2 linked regions of the Macaca fascicularis genome follow. The protein of the gene in region 1 purifies or fractionates together with the protein of each later gene. This does not show direct contact. Links are inferred from orthologs where the notes say so. Each region holds a gene or a part of one and is shown on either strand. Other genes may lie near its edges.

What was found.
Region 2: the proteins of NUP43 (region 1) and NUP133 purify together in Homo sapiens (affinity purification with mass spectrometry; 5 studies listed by BioGRID and IntAct, counting the BioPlex papers as one, with this or other methods). This does not show direct contact. The link is inferred for Macaca fascicularis from reciprocal best matches to the Homo sapiens genes NUP43 and NUP133.

What each region holds. Positions count from the first base shown.
Region 1 is NC_088378.1:57,730,608-57,738,664, reverse strand, and holds the start of NUP43 (nucleoporin Nup43), read left to right. Parts: upstream 1-2,787; 5' UTR 2,788-2,821; coding exon 2,822-2,941; intron 2,942-3,257; coding exon 3,258-3,380; intron 3,381-5,600; coding exon 5,601-5,678; intron 5,679-6,731; coding exon 6,732-6,912; intron 6,913-8,057. UniProt on the Homo sapiens protein: Component of the Nup107-160 subcomplex of the nuclear pore complex (NPC). The Nup107-160 subcomplex is required for the assembly of a functional NPC.
Region 2 is NC_088375.1:19,595,584-19,603,687, forward strand, and holds the start of NUP133 (nuclear pore complex protein Nup133), read left to right. Parts: upstream 1-2,841; 5' UTR 2,842-2,951; coding exon 2,952-3,133; intron 3,134-5,015; coding exon 5,016-5,134; intron 5,135-8,104. UniProt on the Homo sapiens protein: Involved in poly(A)+ RNA transport. Involved in nephrogenesis.

The DNA of each region.
Region 1 (8,057 bases):
CGACAAAAGTGTGCATTTCCACCTAATTAAGCCTCACAAATTCCACCATAGCTTTATTGCTATCAGCTCTGCAAGACCATGAGTGAGAAGCTCACTGAGAACATTGCTTGTCGCGTCCAAATCGCTGACTCGTAATTTGACCTGAGACTGACAGAATCCAGCCATCACTTAGTCCAGTAATCTTTTTTTTTTTCTTTCTTTTTTTTTTTTTTTGAGACAGAGTCTCGCTCTGTCGCCCAGGCTGGAGTGCAGTGGCGCGATCTCGGCTCACTGCAAGCTCCGCCTCCCGGGTTCAGCCTCCTGAGTAGCTGAGACTACAGGCGCCCGCCACCACGCCCGGCTAATTTTTTGTATTTTTAGTAGAGACGGGGTTTCACCGTGTTAGCCAGGATGGTCTCGATCTCCTGACCTCGGGATCTGCCCTCGTCCGCCTCCCCAAGTGCTGGGATTACAGGCGTAAGCCATTGCGCCCGGCCTCCAGTAATCTGTTGGAAGGAAACAAGGCTAAGACATCTGTGCTACTATGTCAGCACAATTTTCAAATTCTAGTTCTTACCCGATTTTGTAAAATGTGACACTGGCCTGTTTCCCATCCAAAATCGTCACTACCTATTTTCTGGGATTCTGTGACCATAAATGAAACTACTGACAAAACTGGGTTTTTTGTTTTTGTTTTTGTTTTTTGAGACGGAGTCTCGCTCAGTAGCCCAGGCTGGAATGCAGTGGCACGATCTTGGCTCACTGCAACCTCCGCCTCCCAGGTCCGCGTTCAAGGAATTCTGCCGCAGCCTCCCGGGTAGCTGGAATTACAGGCACGACCACCATGCCCAGCTAATTTTTTTGTATTTTTAGTAGTAGAGTTTCACCATGTTGGCCAGGCTGGTCTTGAACTCCTGACCTCGTGATCTGCCTGCCTCGATCTCCCAAAGTGCTGGAATTACAGGCATGAGCCACCGTGCCCAGCCAAAACAGTGTTCTTTACTTCAATATTAAACATGAATAAATTGTTGATTTGGGACTGTAACCCACTTAATATTTTCCATTTCATCTTTTCTACAGTTTCTTGATGATCTTCCATTTGGTGAAAAGAAAAAAGTCAAATCCTTGATAGGAACCTGATAACTCTAAAGCTGAGCCAGACGGATTGCATTTACATGCAGTGCTTCCCTAAACTGTCCCTGTGAAGTAGGACTACCAATATCACATAAAAACAACAATAGCATAATGGCCCTTTTTAAAGAAACAACCAACATACAGTTATGAATACCTGTAGTATTAAAGAGGTTCATTTTTTAGATAAGTCATACCTCTTGTATTCAGTAGGATTTACATTCTTTTTTTATTCTTTTTTTTTTGAGACGGAGTCTAATTCTGTCGCCCAGGCTAGAGTGCAGTGGCTGGATCTCAGCTCACTGCAAGCTCCGCCTCCCGGGTTCACGCCATTCTCCTGCCTCAGCCTCCCGAGTAGCTGGGACTACAGGCGCCCGCCACCTCGCCCGGCTAGTTTTTTGTATTTTTTTAGTAGAGACGGAGTTTCACCGGGTTAGCCAGGATGGTCTCCATCTCCTGACCTCATGATCCGCCCGTCTCGGCCTCCCAAAATGCTGGGATTACAGGCTTGAGCCACCGCGCCCGGCCGGATTTACATTCTAATTAGGGAGGAATATGCATCTTAAGAAAACTAACGATAGAATATATCCAAAATATATGTAATAGTGGCCTAGATATCAAATGCAAGCTCACGCCTGTAATCCCAGCACTTTGGGAGGACAAGGCAGGCGGATCACCTGAGGTCAGGAGTTCGAGACCAGCCTGGCCAATATGGTAAAATCCCGTCTCTACCAAAAAAAAAAAAAAATAGCCAGGCATGGTGACACGCACCTGTAGTCCCAGCTACCCTGGAAGCTGAGGTGAGAGAATCACTTTAATCTGGGAGGCGGAGGTTGCAGTGAGCTGAGATTGTGCCACTGCACTTCAACCTGGGCCACAGAGTGAGACCCTGTCTTCAAAAAGAAAAAAAGCGATGTTGATTTAGATCAACATTGGCTGGGGGCATCAGGAAATGGTTAAGGAAAGAACAGATCCTTGAAGGATAGGCAGGATTCTGAGGAGTAAAGAGGAAGGGAAGAATATTATAGGTGTAACCAAAAGCACAGAAGGAACCTAGAAAACTGATTCCTGGGCTATTGACAATAGATATCACAAACCTCATTCTTAATCATGCACATAATTAAATTGACCAAAGCTAGGCAATTGGCATCAAAACTAAAACTGGAGTCTTTCAGAATTCTAACTCCAGGCTCTGACAGTGTGTATTAACTTTCAAGCAAAGTATTTGTTTGGGGGACAAGAGGGAGAGGTTTAGGATAGTAGGTTGGCACTGTATTCGAGGTACTTCCATGAGTATTTAAGGATTTTTGAATTGTTTTCTATGCGCAGTGACCTGCAACTGCTTAGGTGTGGTTTCAAGGTGGTTTCTACTGTATTGATTTTGTTCTATTTTTGCTCTTAAATTTTACACTGCACAATTATTGAACACAAGAAAATACTGATATTTTAGATTAGGAGCAAGTCCTACTGCTCAAAGGCCAAAGCGCTCTTGCCTTTGCTCAGAGTCGCTCTAGGAGATGGGCCTCTCGGTCTAGGTTCTCCCAGTTTGTATACTGACCGTGCCCACACTGGCTACCGAAGAGAATTGACTCTCTGCAGCCACCGTCTCCCTCCTAAAGTCCCATCCAATCAGGGTTCCGCGGGAAGAGGCGGGGCTGAGAGGCGCGCGTTGTGCTTGCTTTTTGCAGTGCCTGCTGCGGCTGCTTTCGGCATGGAGGAAATTTATGCGAAGTTTGTGTCTCAGAAAATCAGCAAAACCCGCTGGCGACCGCTGCCTCCCGGAAGTTTGCAAACCGCGGAGACGTTTGCTACCGGATCTTGGGACAATGAGGTATCCCTGCTGATAGGGACGAGCCCCTGCCTCTTCCCTCCCTCCGGTTGAGCTGACCCCTGGCCGCGCGCGCGCCAACTCCCACCTTCTGGTTTTTCTCGCACTTCTAGGTCCCTCGGACCCTGTCTCAGGCGCGGTTGCGCCATAGCTCAGAACCCGTGATGGTGTGCCTGAGCCTCATATCTCGTTACGTTTTAAACTCACCATACTATTTGTCTGAGATGTTTTGGAGCAAGCTTTCTGGACGGAAGCGCAACTTTTATTTTCCGATAGTTGACGTTTATGTCATCTCAAGACAAAACTCTTTGTTTTACAGGAAAATTATGTTTCACTGTGGTCTATTGGAGATTTTGGAAACTTGGACTCTGATGGAGGGTTTGAAGGAGACCATCAATTATTGTGTGATATCAGACACCATGGTGATGTCATGGATTTACAGGTAAATCTGTGTAGCATCCAAAAGCTAACTTTGAAAGTCCTGAGTAATACATTTAAACAAGCAGAGCATCATAAAGGTTGTCTTGTATCACCCCTCATTTACAAAAAACTGAGTGCTCTGTAAGTTATGATTTGGCCGACATCATTTAGCCATTTAGTGGCAGAAAAAGGACTGGGAAAGGGGATGTAGATTTAATCATACTTTTTTATTTATTGACCGTCGACTATGTGCTAAGTACCGTTTGGGGAGCTTTACAAAAATTAATTATTATTGGTTGCCGGTATATCAAGTATTGTTACTTTGTTTTACTAATGAGAAAATTGAGACTAACATATCTTAAGCATGTACTATGTGACAGATACTGTGCAGGGGGATTAACATCATTTTGTTTTTTGAATTCTCATGACAACTCCCTAAGCAGAGATTAGTGCTCCCGTTTTAAAGATTTACCACGATTTAGTGAACTTAACTTGGCCAAAGTCTCAAAACCAGTAGTGAGTGGTGGGGATGAAATTGAGCTTTCTTTTTTTCTTTTTTTTTTTTTTTGAGGTGAAGTCTCACTCTGTCTCCCCGGCTGGAGTACAGTGGCATGATCTCGGCTCACTACAGCCTCCACTTCCCGGATTCAAGCGATTCTCCTGCCTCAGCCTCCCAGGTAGCTGGGACTACAGGCACAGGCCACCACACCCGGCTAATTGTTTGTATTTTTAGTAGAGACGGGGTTTCACCATATTAACCAGGATGGTCTTGAACTCCTGATCTCGGCCTCCCAAAGTGCTGGGATTGCAGGAGTGAGCCACTGTGCCTGGCCGAAATTAAGTTTTCAAATCCTGGTGTGGAGAGCCCCTGCATTTTATTCTATAGAAAGCTACCTAGCCCTGGTGTACGCCTGTAATCCTAGCTACTCGGGAAGCTGAGGCAGGAGAATTGCTTGAACCTGGGCGCAGAGGTTACAGTAAGCTGAGTGCACGCCAGTCTGGGCAACAAGAGCGAAACACTGTCCCAAAAAAAAAAAAGAAAGAAAAAGAGACAGAGAGAAGAAAGAGAAGAAAGCTATCTAGCCCTAGGAAAGATCTTTTTTTTTTTTTTTTTTTGAGACGGAGTCTCACACTGTCACCTGAGCTGGAGTGCAGTGGCACGATCTCAGCTCACTGCAACCTCTGCCTCCTGGGTTCATGCAGTTCTTCTGCCTCAGCGTTGAGTAACTGGGACAACAGGCATATGCCTCCATGCCTGGCTAATTTTTGTGTTTTTAGTAGAGATGGGGTTTCACTATGTTGGCCAGGCTGGTCTTGAACTCCTGACCTCGTGGTTCACCCGGCTTGGCCTCCTGAAGTGCTAGGATTACAGGCGTGAGCCACCATGCCAGGACAATATTTTTCCTTTCTTTTTTTCTTTTTTTTTTTTTTTGAGATGGAGTCTTGCTCTGTCGCCCAAGCTGGAGTGGTGCAGTGGCACTATCTCGGCTCACTGCAACCCTGCCTTCTGGGTTCAAGCGATTCTTCTGCCTCAGCCTGCTGAGTAGCTGGGAGTACAGGCACCTGCCACCACGCCCAGCTAATTTTTGTGTTTTTAGTAGAGACGGGGTTTCAACATATTGGCCAGGCTGGTCTCAAACTCCTGGCCTCGTGATCTGCCTGCTTCAGCCTCCCAAAGTGCTGGGATTACAGGCATGAGCCACCGCGCCTGGCTTTTCTTTTTAAAAATTTTTATTCTGTTTTTGAAACTGAGTCTTGCTCTGTCAACCAGGCCGGAATGCAGGGGCTCGATCTTGGCTCGCTGCAAGCTCCGCTTCCCCACAACCCCGACTCATTTTTGTATTTTCGTAGAGACGAGGTCTCGCCACATTGCCCAGGGTGGTCTTGAACTCCTGAACTCAAGCGATCTGTCCGCCTAGGCCTCTCAAAGTGCTGGGATTACAGGCGTGAGCCACCGCACCCAGCCAGGAATGGTATTTTTCTAACGTTTTATTGTGTTGGTCTCAAATTAAATCAATGGCGGGTAAATGTGTCTAGGAAAAAAATACTGTTTATTCATGAAAATGCTTTGTATGGCAGTTTGGACTTTCAGCTCCATTAACACATGTTATTTGCTTAGCACTCATAGGCTCTTTGCTTTTTAAAATTGTTATCATTTGCTACTAATTGAGTTAAATAAATGAATAGATTTCCTCCCTGCTAGTATTTCTGAGTCTTTAACAAGCAGAAATTTTCTCTTTAGTTTTTTGACCAGGAAAGAATTGTCACTGCTTCATCAACAGGATGTGTAACAGTTTTCCTTCACCATCCGAATAACCAGGTAAAGAACTTCAGTTTGAAAAGTGATTTTTTTTTTTTTTTGGAGATGGAGTTCTGCTCTTTTTGCCCAGGCACTGGAGTGCAATGGCACAATCTCGGCTCATCACAAGCTCCGCCTTCCAGCTTCAAGTGATTCTCCTGCCTCAGCCTCCCAAGTAGCTGGGATTACAGGCATGTGACACCATGCCCGGCTAATTTTATATTTTTCGTAGAGACGGGGTTTCTCCATGTTGGTCAGGCTGATCTCGAACTCCTGACCTCAGGTGATCAGCCCTCTTCACCCTCCCAAAGTGCTGGGATTATAGGCATAAGCCACTGCTCCCGGCCAAAGGTAACGTTTCTAATAGACATGCCTAGTAAATATAAGACCCAGTTCGTGTTAAAGGTTTTTTGAGTCATTTAGAAAAAGCTACAGAGATTAATATTTTTTTAATTAATTAATTTATTTATTTTGAGACAGAGTCTCTCTCTGTCGCCCAGGCTGGAGTGCAGTGGCACGATCTCTGCTCACTGCAGCCTGCACCTCCCTGGTTCAAGCAATTCTCCCACCTTAGCTTCCCAAGTAGCTGGGATTACAGGTGTGTGCCACCATACCTGGCTAATTTTTGTATTTTTAGTAGAGATGGGATTTCACCATATTGACCAGGCTGGTCTCGAACTCCTGACCTCAGATGATCTGCCTGCCTTGGCCTCCCAAAGTGCTAGGATTACAGGCATGAGCCACAGCCATGGGCCAGAGATTTATATTTTAGATGTAGGTTAATTTCCATAAGAATACAAAGAGTTGCTTTTGAACATCCAACTGCTTGATCCCTAAAAGTCATTACTGTAGTTTGAGATAAATGTGGGGCATTATTAAACAGTATTTCTTTTGAATCTAATTCTATGTATACAGAACTTTGATGCAAGTAGTTTCTAGATTTCATTATTCTAAAGGAAAAAAGATTTATTCTTGTAGAAGGATGTGAGTCAGAATTTAAAGATACTCTTGTTGGTAAGAAGTGCTAGTTCCTTAGTACTTTTCTTTAATAGTATCCTCATTTCTGATGCCTAGACTCTGTCAGTCAACCAGCAGTGGACTACAGCTCACTACCACGCAGGCCCTGGCAGTCCTTCCTATAGCAGTGCACCATGTACAGGTGTTGTGTGCAATAACCCAGAAATCGTTACAGTTGGAGAGGATGGTCGAATAAATCTCTTCAGAGCTGATCACAAGGAAGCTGTAAGAACCATAGGTAAGAAAAATCCCAGCCTGGCCAACATGGCAAAACCTTGTCTCTATTAAAAATACAAAAGTTAGGCTGGGTGTGGTGGCTCACCCTGGCAATCGCAGCACTTTGGGAGGCGGATCACCTGAGGTTGGGAGTCCAAGACCAGCCTGACCAACATGGAGAAACACTCTCTCTATTAAAAATACAAAATTAGCCGGGAATGGTGGCACATGCCTGTAATCCCAGCTACTTGGGAGGCTGAGGCAGGAGAATCACTTGAACCCGGGAGGCAGAGGTTGCAGTGAGCAGATTGTGACATTGCACTCCAGCCTGGGCAATAAGAGTGAAACTCTGTCTCAAAAAAAAAAAAAAAGAAAAGAAAAGTGAGCCAGGCATGGTGGCGCATGCTTGTAATCCCAGCTACTCAGGAGGCTGAGGCGGGAGAATCACTTGAACCTGAGAGGCGGAGGTTGCGGTGAGCTGTGATGGCACTCTACTCCCACCTGGGTGACAGAGGGAGACTCCATCTCAAAAAAAGAAAAATCATTGTATTCCTTTCATTCATCACAGAGTAATTGAGTGCTTACCATATACTAAGTAAACACTGCCAGGCATGATGGCTCATGCCTGTTACCCCAGCACTTTGGGAGGCCAAGGCAGGCGGATCACAAGGTCGAGAGATTGTGATCATCCTGGCCAACATCGTGAAAGTCTGTCTCTACTAAACATAACAAAAATTAGCTGGGTGTGGTGGCATGCGCCTGTAGTCCCAGCTACTCAGGAGGCTGAGGCAGAAGAAGCGCTTGAACCTGGGAGGTAGAGGTTGCAGTGAGCCAAGATTACACCACTGCACGCTAGCCTGGCGACGAAGCAAGACTCCATCTCAAAAATAAAAGTAAACACAATGAGCCGGGCGCGGTGGCTCACGCCTGTAATCACAATACTTTGGGAGGCCGAGGCGGGCGGATCACAAGATCAGGAGATTGAGACTATCCTGGCTAACATGATGAAACCCCGTCTCTACTAAAAATACAAAAAATTAGCCTGGCATAGTGTCGACAGTTGTCTGTAGTCCCAGCTACTCTGGAGGCTGAGGCAGGAGAATGGCATGAACCTAGGAGGCAGAGCTTGCAGTGAATCGAGATCGCACCACTGCACTCCAGCCTGGG
Region 2 (8,104 bases), on another chromosome or scaffold:
GCCCGGCGTTCTCTAGGATCTTATTTGACAGAGCCTAAAGGCCCTTCATAGTCTCTCCTTATTTCTCCAATTTCCTTTACTTTTAGTCTTTCAGGTTGATTTGTCTGTTTAAAGTCCCTGGTTCTAATCCCAGCTACTCAGGAGGCTGAGGCTGGAGGATCACTTAAAGCCACAGGAGTTTGAGACCAGCCTGGGAAATATAGCAAGACCCCATTTTTTAAATTGTATTTTTTTAGAATTTAAAATAAAATTTCTTGGGGAGACAGGGTCTCACTATGTTGCCCAGGGGCTGGTCTTGAACTACCGGCCTCAAGCCATCCTCCCACACCTTAGCCTTGCAAGGTTCTGCGATTACAGACGTGAGCCATTGTGCCTGGCGGTGAGACCCCATTTCTAAAAATGTATATATAAATAAAAAATAGGCAGGCGTGGTGGTACATGCCCATGGTCCCAACTCTGAGGCTGAGGCAGGAGGATCACTGATGCCCAGGTCAAGGATGTGGTGAGCTTTGATCACGCCACTGCACTCCAGCCTGGGCAACAGAGTAAGACCCAATCGCTAGAAAAATAATAAAGTAAAATAAAAATAAATAAAGTCCCTAGAATGCACCAAGTCCTTTGCTGCTTCAGGACCTTTGGCCAAGGATCCTCTGCCTGAAATATTCTTCCTCGCATTCTCTTATGCTTCATGTCTCAGGTTAAATGTCCTTTTCTCCCAGAGGCCTTTATAGACCTCCATCCAAAAATAGGTAGCCCCAGTGATTCTCTCTCATACACTTTGCTGTTTTATTTCATAGTACACATCTCAGCTTGTAGCTGGATATTTGTGTTCATTTTTTCAGTGTCTTTCTCGTTGGTCTGTAATCTCCATGAGGGTGGGACCCGTTGGGCTTTGTTTAGTTATAAACCTTAGCACTTATCACATAGCCTGACAAATAGTAGGTACTCACTAAATCCATAACGAATGGATGACTTTTAGTGCTGTCTGCTCACTATCCTTCAAGTCATACATTTGGACTCCAGGAAAGTTCTTGCTCAAAGGTGCCGGCAAGTCATTCTAACTCCTGCAAACAACAGCTTTTACAATAGGATGGTGGGGGAACCACTAACCAGTCCAACAAGGCACAAGAATACAATTGATCCCACCAATCCTCTCAGACACAACTATTAATACTCTTTATTGCCTATTTCACACCCCTCCTTGTAAGAATGAAACAGGAGGGAAATGCACTGGGCTCTCAGAGCCCTAAGACTCAACAAGCTGCCAAGTTGGATTAGACACCCAGGTTGGAGAAGGAGTAAAGCAGCTAGCCTATGGAACCTTGGCAAGATAACTGCTCAGATGCCACTGACATGCATAGATCGATGACTGGCTTCCCAGGGGAATGTCAACAACTGACACCCACACTGTGGTCTCCCACATGTGGATACATCAGTGTTTACTTAACCATTCCCTTATTTCAACACGTGTTGAATGAAAGTCTACTATATGTCTGTTACTGTGTGCCACAAAGGTAACAAAGTCACTGCTCCTGCTGCTTTTAAAAGACATTTACAAGGAGGTACTTGAGAGACAGTTATGAAAACAAACTATTATGCAGGATAAAAATACAGTCTACACAAAGGAGCAGAGAGGACAAAAAGGATAAGGGGTATCTAATCCTGTGGAAGGTTTCACTGAGAAGGCAGCACAGAACTGACTTGATGCGTAAGGTAGGCGCCTTCCGGACCAACAAGGCACAGAGTGCATTCCAGGTGAAACATGTATATGCGCAATGGAGGGGGATTTGGGTTTTTAAGTTCTTGGAATGTGGAGTACAAGTGGGAAGTGGTGGAAGTACAACACGGACAGAAAAGCCAACCTGACTTAGATCACATAAGACCTTGCAAAGGAGCTTAGCAAATAACTACTGGCAATGGTCAGCCACTGAAGCATTTACAGGCCCAAGAGCAGCATTAGGTTTGCCTTAATTCATTGGGTTGGCACTGAGAAGATAGAGTGGAGTCAGACTAGACACAGGTAAGGAACCATCTCCCCGTCTCTCGTCTCTCCCACTCCCTCCCGCTGGCAGTAAAGAGGCTACGCAGTGGTTGAAGAAAAGTACCAGAACCAGGGCAGAGGCGGTGCAAATGTGTGATCTAACACAGATACGTAGGAGCTACAACGTATACCAGGATCTTAGGGTGGAGGTAAGTGTGAGGGATGACTGCAGATAGAACTCCTCTCTTTGCCTTGGACAACTGGCCAGTCTTACCAAGCTGGGACAGAGATGGTGGTAGAAGAGGGGTCCTAAAAGGAAAACATGAATGTGCTTTTCATAAGCGGATTGTGAGGAGTCCGCAAGACTTACAGGTGAATGTGTCCCCTAGGGAGCTGATTTGATAGGGGTCTGGGGGTTTTGAGCTGGATCCAGGTTAGAGACACGGATTTATGGCGTCATTAGCGTGGAAGAAACTGTGCAAAGTTGAATGGGAAAATGGCAAACCTAGAAAACAGCAAATATCACAGTGCGATACCAGTGTCAGCTTTACAAAAGGCTTTTCTCCGTCCTCAGCTTGGACTGAGGAACATCTTTCATTTCACAAGAGTCTCAGGAACTACCAGTGTGAAAAGAGGCTGCGTTCAAGTTGCTGGAGGGCCAGTTCCAACCAGGCGCAGTCAAGAAGGAGGCCCGGCTTTGCGGCTTCACGTCCCTGGAAGCTCTGCACTCCAACGGTTCTGGATCTGCGGCCACGGGCCGCCTTCCCGACCTCCCCCGCGGGCTGGGCGCCGCCCTTAACGTCACGATCACGCCCCCGCCAGCGCTCCTACCGCAACTCGCGAGAGCCACTGCGTTTGACGTCATCATCGCGCGCCATCCCTCCCCTTAGGTGTTTAATCTCCGCGCGCAGGCCGCGCTGAAACCCGACGGCCAGATACCTCGCCGTCCAAGTCTCTGCTCCTTCGAATCATGTTCCCAGCCGCCCCTTCTCCGCGGACCCCGGGTCCCGGGTCCCGAAGGGGCCCCCTGGCCGGACTCGGGCCCGGCTCCACGCCCCGGACGGCCAGCAGGAAGGGTCTGCCCCTGGGGTCTGCAGTCAGCTCTCCAGTGCTCTTCTCACCGGTGGGCCGGCGTAGCTCACTAAGTTCGCGGTAAGTGATCTCCTTGGTTGGGTCTGGCAACCAGCAGGCTCACGGGCCGCAGTGGGCCGGATCGGTTAGTGTCTTCAGAAGCCTTCGGAACCGGGGGCGGCGGAAGAGAATGCCAGAGTATTGGAAAATAGACGTTTTCCGCTCTTGCAGGTCATACCTGCTTCACTTTTTGAGTTGATTCCCCACTTTGCATTTTTCGTGGATACCTTTGTGCAGAAGTGAAGTACAAACCGGATTCGCATCAATGGTTACCCACTTCCCACCTACTACCGCTGTGATCGGGCGTAAGTCACTCGTGATTTTCTTCATCTGTGAAATGGCGATAATATGTGTCACCTGAGCCAGAGGAGTTAGTATGAATTGCCACGATGCAGATGTAAGGTGATGGTGATAATGAGGACCTGCAACCCTGAAATATAATTGTTTAATGCCTAATATACCAACTGACATTAATATCTGATGATTGGTAATTGAAGGGTTTCTAGCTACGGAATTTAACTTTCTAGGTAAATTATAGGGAAAAGGCTTTACATAAGTGAGATAAGAGTACTGTGGTAATTTAGTTACTAAAACTGCTGGTTTGGAGCACCAGTAAAATCACACACACCCTTCCCCCCCGCCCCCCAACACACACCATGTTCACAATTAACCTAAAACTTTAGAAGATAACGTGTTTCTGCATAGTTTTCTCTGAATTCATCTATAATAAATGAATTTTTCCCTGCAGGAAAACACCGAGTATTGTGTCTTGAAATTATGGTTAAAATTTATCTGTAAAATTTTGCAGTACTATAAAGGATAAGTGGTTTTTAAAGAATGCACCGTATCTTTGTGACTTTTTTTGGGCATATTTTGAAAAGTACAAAGTGCAGATCTTGGCATTGTTTTCTATTCCTTTAACGAAAAGTTGGAGAATAAAAGCGTACTTTATTTACTATGTATGTTGTTTTATTTAAATCTCTTCTTTCTGATGATCATTTGAATAAAAACCTTTGTTATCCTCTGTCAAGAAACAAAGCCCTCAGCCATTCTGTATGTGCATCTCCTCATTTAATTCTCATAAGACATAGAATAACTTATTCTGGTGGCTTTACAGTATTCTAAATGTTAAGAAGAGTGTGAGCAGGAAATAGTTTTTACTCTGATATCTGCTGTTGAAGACCATGTAACAGCTGATGCTCGTAACCTGTTTGATTTCTTGCTTGGTTGTACAGATCTGATAGATTTTTCTTTTAAGAGACAGGGTCTCACTCTCTGTCGCCCAGGCTACAAGCTGGTGCCACAATGCCTGGCTAATGTAAAATTTTTTTTGTAGAGACAAGGTCTTGCCATGTTGCCCAGGCTGGTCTTGAACTCTTGGTCTCAAGTAGTCTTCCCACTTCAGCCACCCAAAGTGCTGAGATTATAGGCATGAGCCACTGCCCCAGCCAGATCTGGTAGATTCTTAAAACCCTAAAGCCAAATGAGAACTTAAATCTCATCTAAGCCAATATTTGTAAAATATATTTGACCACAACATATGGTAAAAGCTGATGTTTTATATTCTGTCTTTCAAAAATATTGATTGAGATCTGCAAAACGACCCACTGTTTGAAAAAAACACTGGTCTAGTTAAGCCTTATTTCACAGCTAAAGAGGCAGAATTATAAGGAGTTTAGGTGAATACAGGCATGCATTTTATTACTAGAGCATATGGAATTGAAGCCAAGTTTTCCTAAATCCTGTCTTTTTACATGAAAAATATTACATTTAATTACATGATAAATATGAGCCAGTGTTAATTTTTTTCAGAGAACTCCTTATTGTGAAAATATATACATAAATAATTAGGATAATGGAAAATTTTAAGTTATAAGTAAGGTAATTAGACTTTTTTCTTTAGAGGAACACCAACACGAATGTTCCCACACCACTCCATAACTGAGTCTGTGAACTATGATGTGAAAACGTTTGGATCTTCTCTTCCTGTTAAAGTCATGGAAGCGCTAACATTGGCTGAAGGTAGGTGTCATCTTTCCGTTTACCTATATTAGCAATTTAGGATGGAGCCTAGATGCGGCATAGAGATTAAATTTATGTTTTCTCACGTATACCTTTATGTAAATGGAGAGAGATGGGTAGCCTTTCTAGTTTTCTTTTTTTTTTTTTGAGGCAGAGTCTCACTCTGTCACCCAGGCTAGAGTCCAGTGGCACGATCTCAGCTCACTGCAACCACCGCCTCCCAGGTTCAAGCGAGTTTCCTGCCTCAGCCTCCCAAGTGGCTGGGATTATAGGTGTGAGCCACCATGCCGGGCTAATTTTTTCTATTTTTAGTAGAGACGGGGTTTCACCATGTTGACCAGGCTGTTCTGGAGCTCCTGACCTCCGATAATCTGCCCACCGTGGCCTCCCAGAGTGCTGGGATTACAGGCATGAGCCACCACACCCAGCCACCTGTCTAGTTTTTTATTTTAATTTACTTTTTTTTTTTTTTTTGAGACGGAGTCTCGCTCTGTTGCCCAGGCTGGAGTGCAGTGGCGTGATCTCGGCTCACTGCAAGCTCGTCCTCCTGGGTTCACGCCATTCTCCTGCCTCAGCCTCCCGAGTCATTGGGACTACAGGTACCCGCCACCTTGCCTGACTAATATTTTGTATTTTTAGTAGAGGCTGGGTTTCAGTGTGTTAGGATGATCTTGATCTCCTGACCTCGTGATCTGCCCGCCTCAGCCCCCCAAAGTGCTGGGATTACAGGCGTAAGCCACCGTGCCCAGCCCTAGTTTTTTACTATAATTGAGATATATAATAAATTTGAGAAGGAGAATGAGTTCATTTGAACACAATCAAATTAAGTCTAATGGTTTTAGGTACTGTACACTAGTCCCCCATTATCTTTGAGGGATATTTTCCAAGATTCTCCGGTGGATGCCTGAAACCTTGTATAGTACCAAACCCTATATATACTGTGTTTTTTCATGCGTACACTCCTATGATAAAGTTTAGTTTATAAATTAGGCACAGTTAAGAGATGAATAGCAATAACTAATAAAGTGGAACAATTATAACAATATACCAGCACTACTCTTGTATTTTGGGGTCATTAAATAAGAATACGAGCATTGCATTACTGCAACAGTTGATCTGGTAACTGAGACAGCTACTAAGTGACAAACAGCTGGATAGTCTTAGGGGTGTCCAATCTTTTGGCTTCCCTGGGCCACACGTAAAATACACTTACCCTAACAAGAGCTGATGAGCTATAAATAAATAAATAAATAGATCTGTGTGTAAATCTCATAATGTTTTAAAAAGTTTACAAACTTGTGTTGGACTGCATTCAAAGCTGTCCTGGGCCACACGTGTCCCTGGGCCGTGGGTTGGACAAGCTTGGTGTATACAGTATGGAAATGCTGCACGAAGGGTTGATTCACAACCTTTAGACAGGACAGTATGAGATTTTTATCACTTTACCCAGAACAACATGCAATTTACAACTTAGGAATTGTTCATTTGAATTTTCCATTTAATATTTTCAGACTGCAATTGACCACAGGTATTTTATTTGAAACTGCAGATAAAAGGGGGAAATACTGTATATGCAAAATTCAGTCTTGTTTGAAGAGTTGATCAAGTTTATGAAGTTTACCATTAAAAAAAAAAAAAACCCAAAACTGGCACTTTATGTTATTGGGTTTAATAATATAGTAAAATCAAGTCCTACCTCTATTTCTGGATCCTATGTAGCATCCCAGAGGCTGTGTGCACAAATTTATGATGTTACCATTGTGGTGGTGTACCTTTAGAAGAGTCTGTTGGCAGAGAATTAGTGTGGAATTTTGACAGATACAATCAACACAAGCTTAGGCAACTTTAAAGATGAACAGTTGGATGACACTGAAAGAGCAAAGTTCAGAGCATCCTTAATATCTGCTGAAGTCATTTTTATTGAGGATTGAATTCTAGATCTTTGTGATTTTTCTGGAACAGTGTTTTTCAAATTGTAGGAGTGACCAAAATTTAGCGGTTCTTGACCAGCATTTAAAAAAAGAAGAAATAGAATGCATCTCATATAATGTTTAGTAAATTTTTGTTTGTTTTACTTAAATTGTATATGGGTGTATCATGATGTAAAATGTATTACACTGTGAATAACTCTATTTACTGTATATATTACTGTTAACAGTAAAAAAAAAAAAGCTGAAAGTACTCTGTTTTAGAAGAAGGAATATATCTCATCAGCTGGAACTTGCACATCTTGCCTATAGGTCCTTGGGAGCTTTAGGGATAGTTGTTTTCAGACAACTAAACTACCAACCTCTATATACATTGTTCTGTTTTAAATAAATATACATATTGTGTATATATATATATATGTATATTTTTCTCCTCTAAAAATTTCATTTTAAATTATATTTAAACCTTTTAATGTACTCCTGCTATTTTAACAGACTAGATTAAATAACACAGCCCCATATCTAGAAATTCAGAGTCCCTCGGAGTCCGAATATATAAAACAAAGAGATATGTCAACTTGAAGAACTCTTCCGCACTTAGAAACCTGCCAACTACTGTTAAGTCAGCCCTTAAGGGCACACCAGTTGAAGATCTGGAGTAGTTGTAGTGCTTTCAAGAAAAAGGAAATTACTGAGCAGATAGTTCAGTTGAGCAAAAAGTCCTCACTCAGCCTGGGCTTGGTTTGATATTTTCGCTTGTACATTGTGCCTTTTACTTCGCCCTTCTACCTTTCTTTAAAGAGCAAAGTTCGACTTAATAAAATTTCCAGGGCTGTTAACACGTTTGTGGAGGTTTACCACCAATACTAAGACGTATGCTAATTTAGTTTTGTCACTTAATAGAGAATGAAACTCTTTGTCTCCATATAATAAATAATTTATCATTTCTTTAAGGAGCTCTTATTTGAAAATTATGTGTGTTTGAAGGAACATTATTTTCCTTGAAATGTTTTATATAGTTAATGAGTTTATTATTTATCGA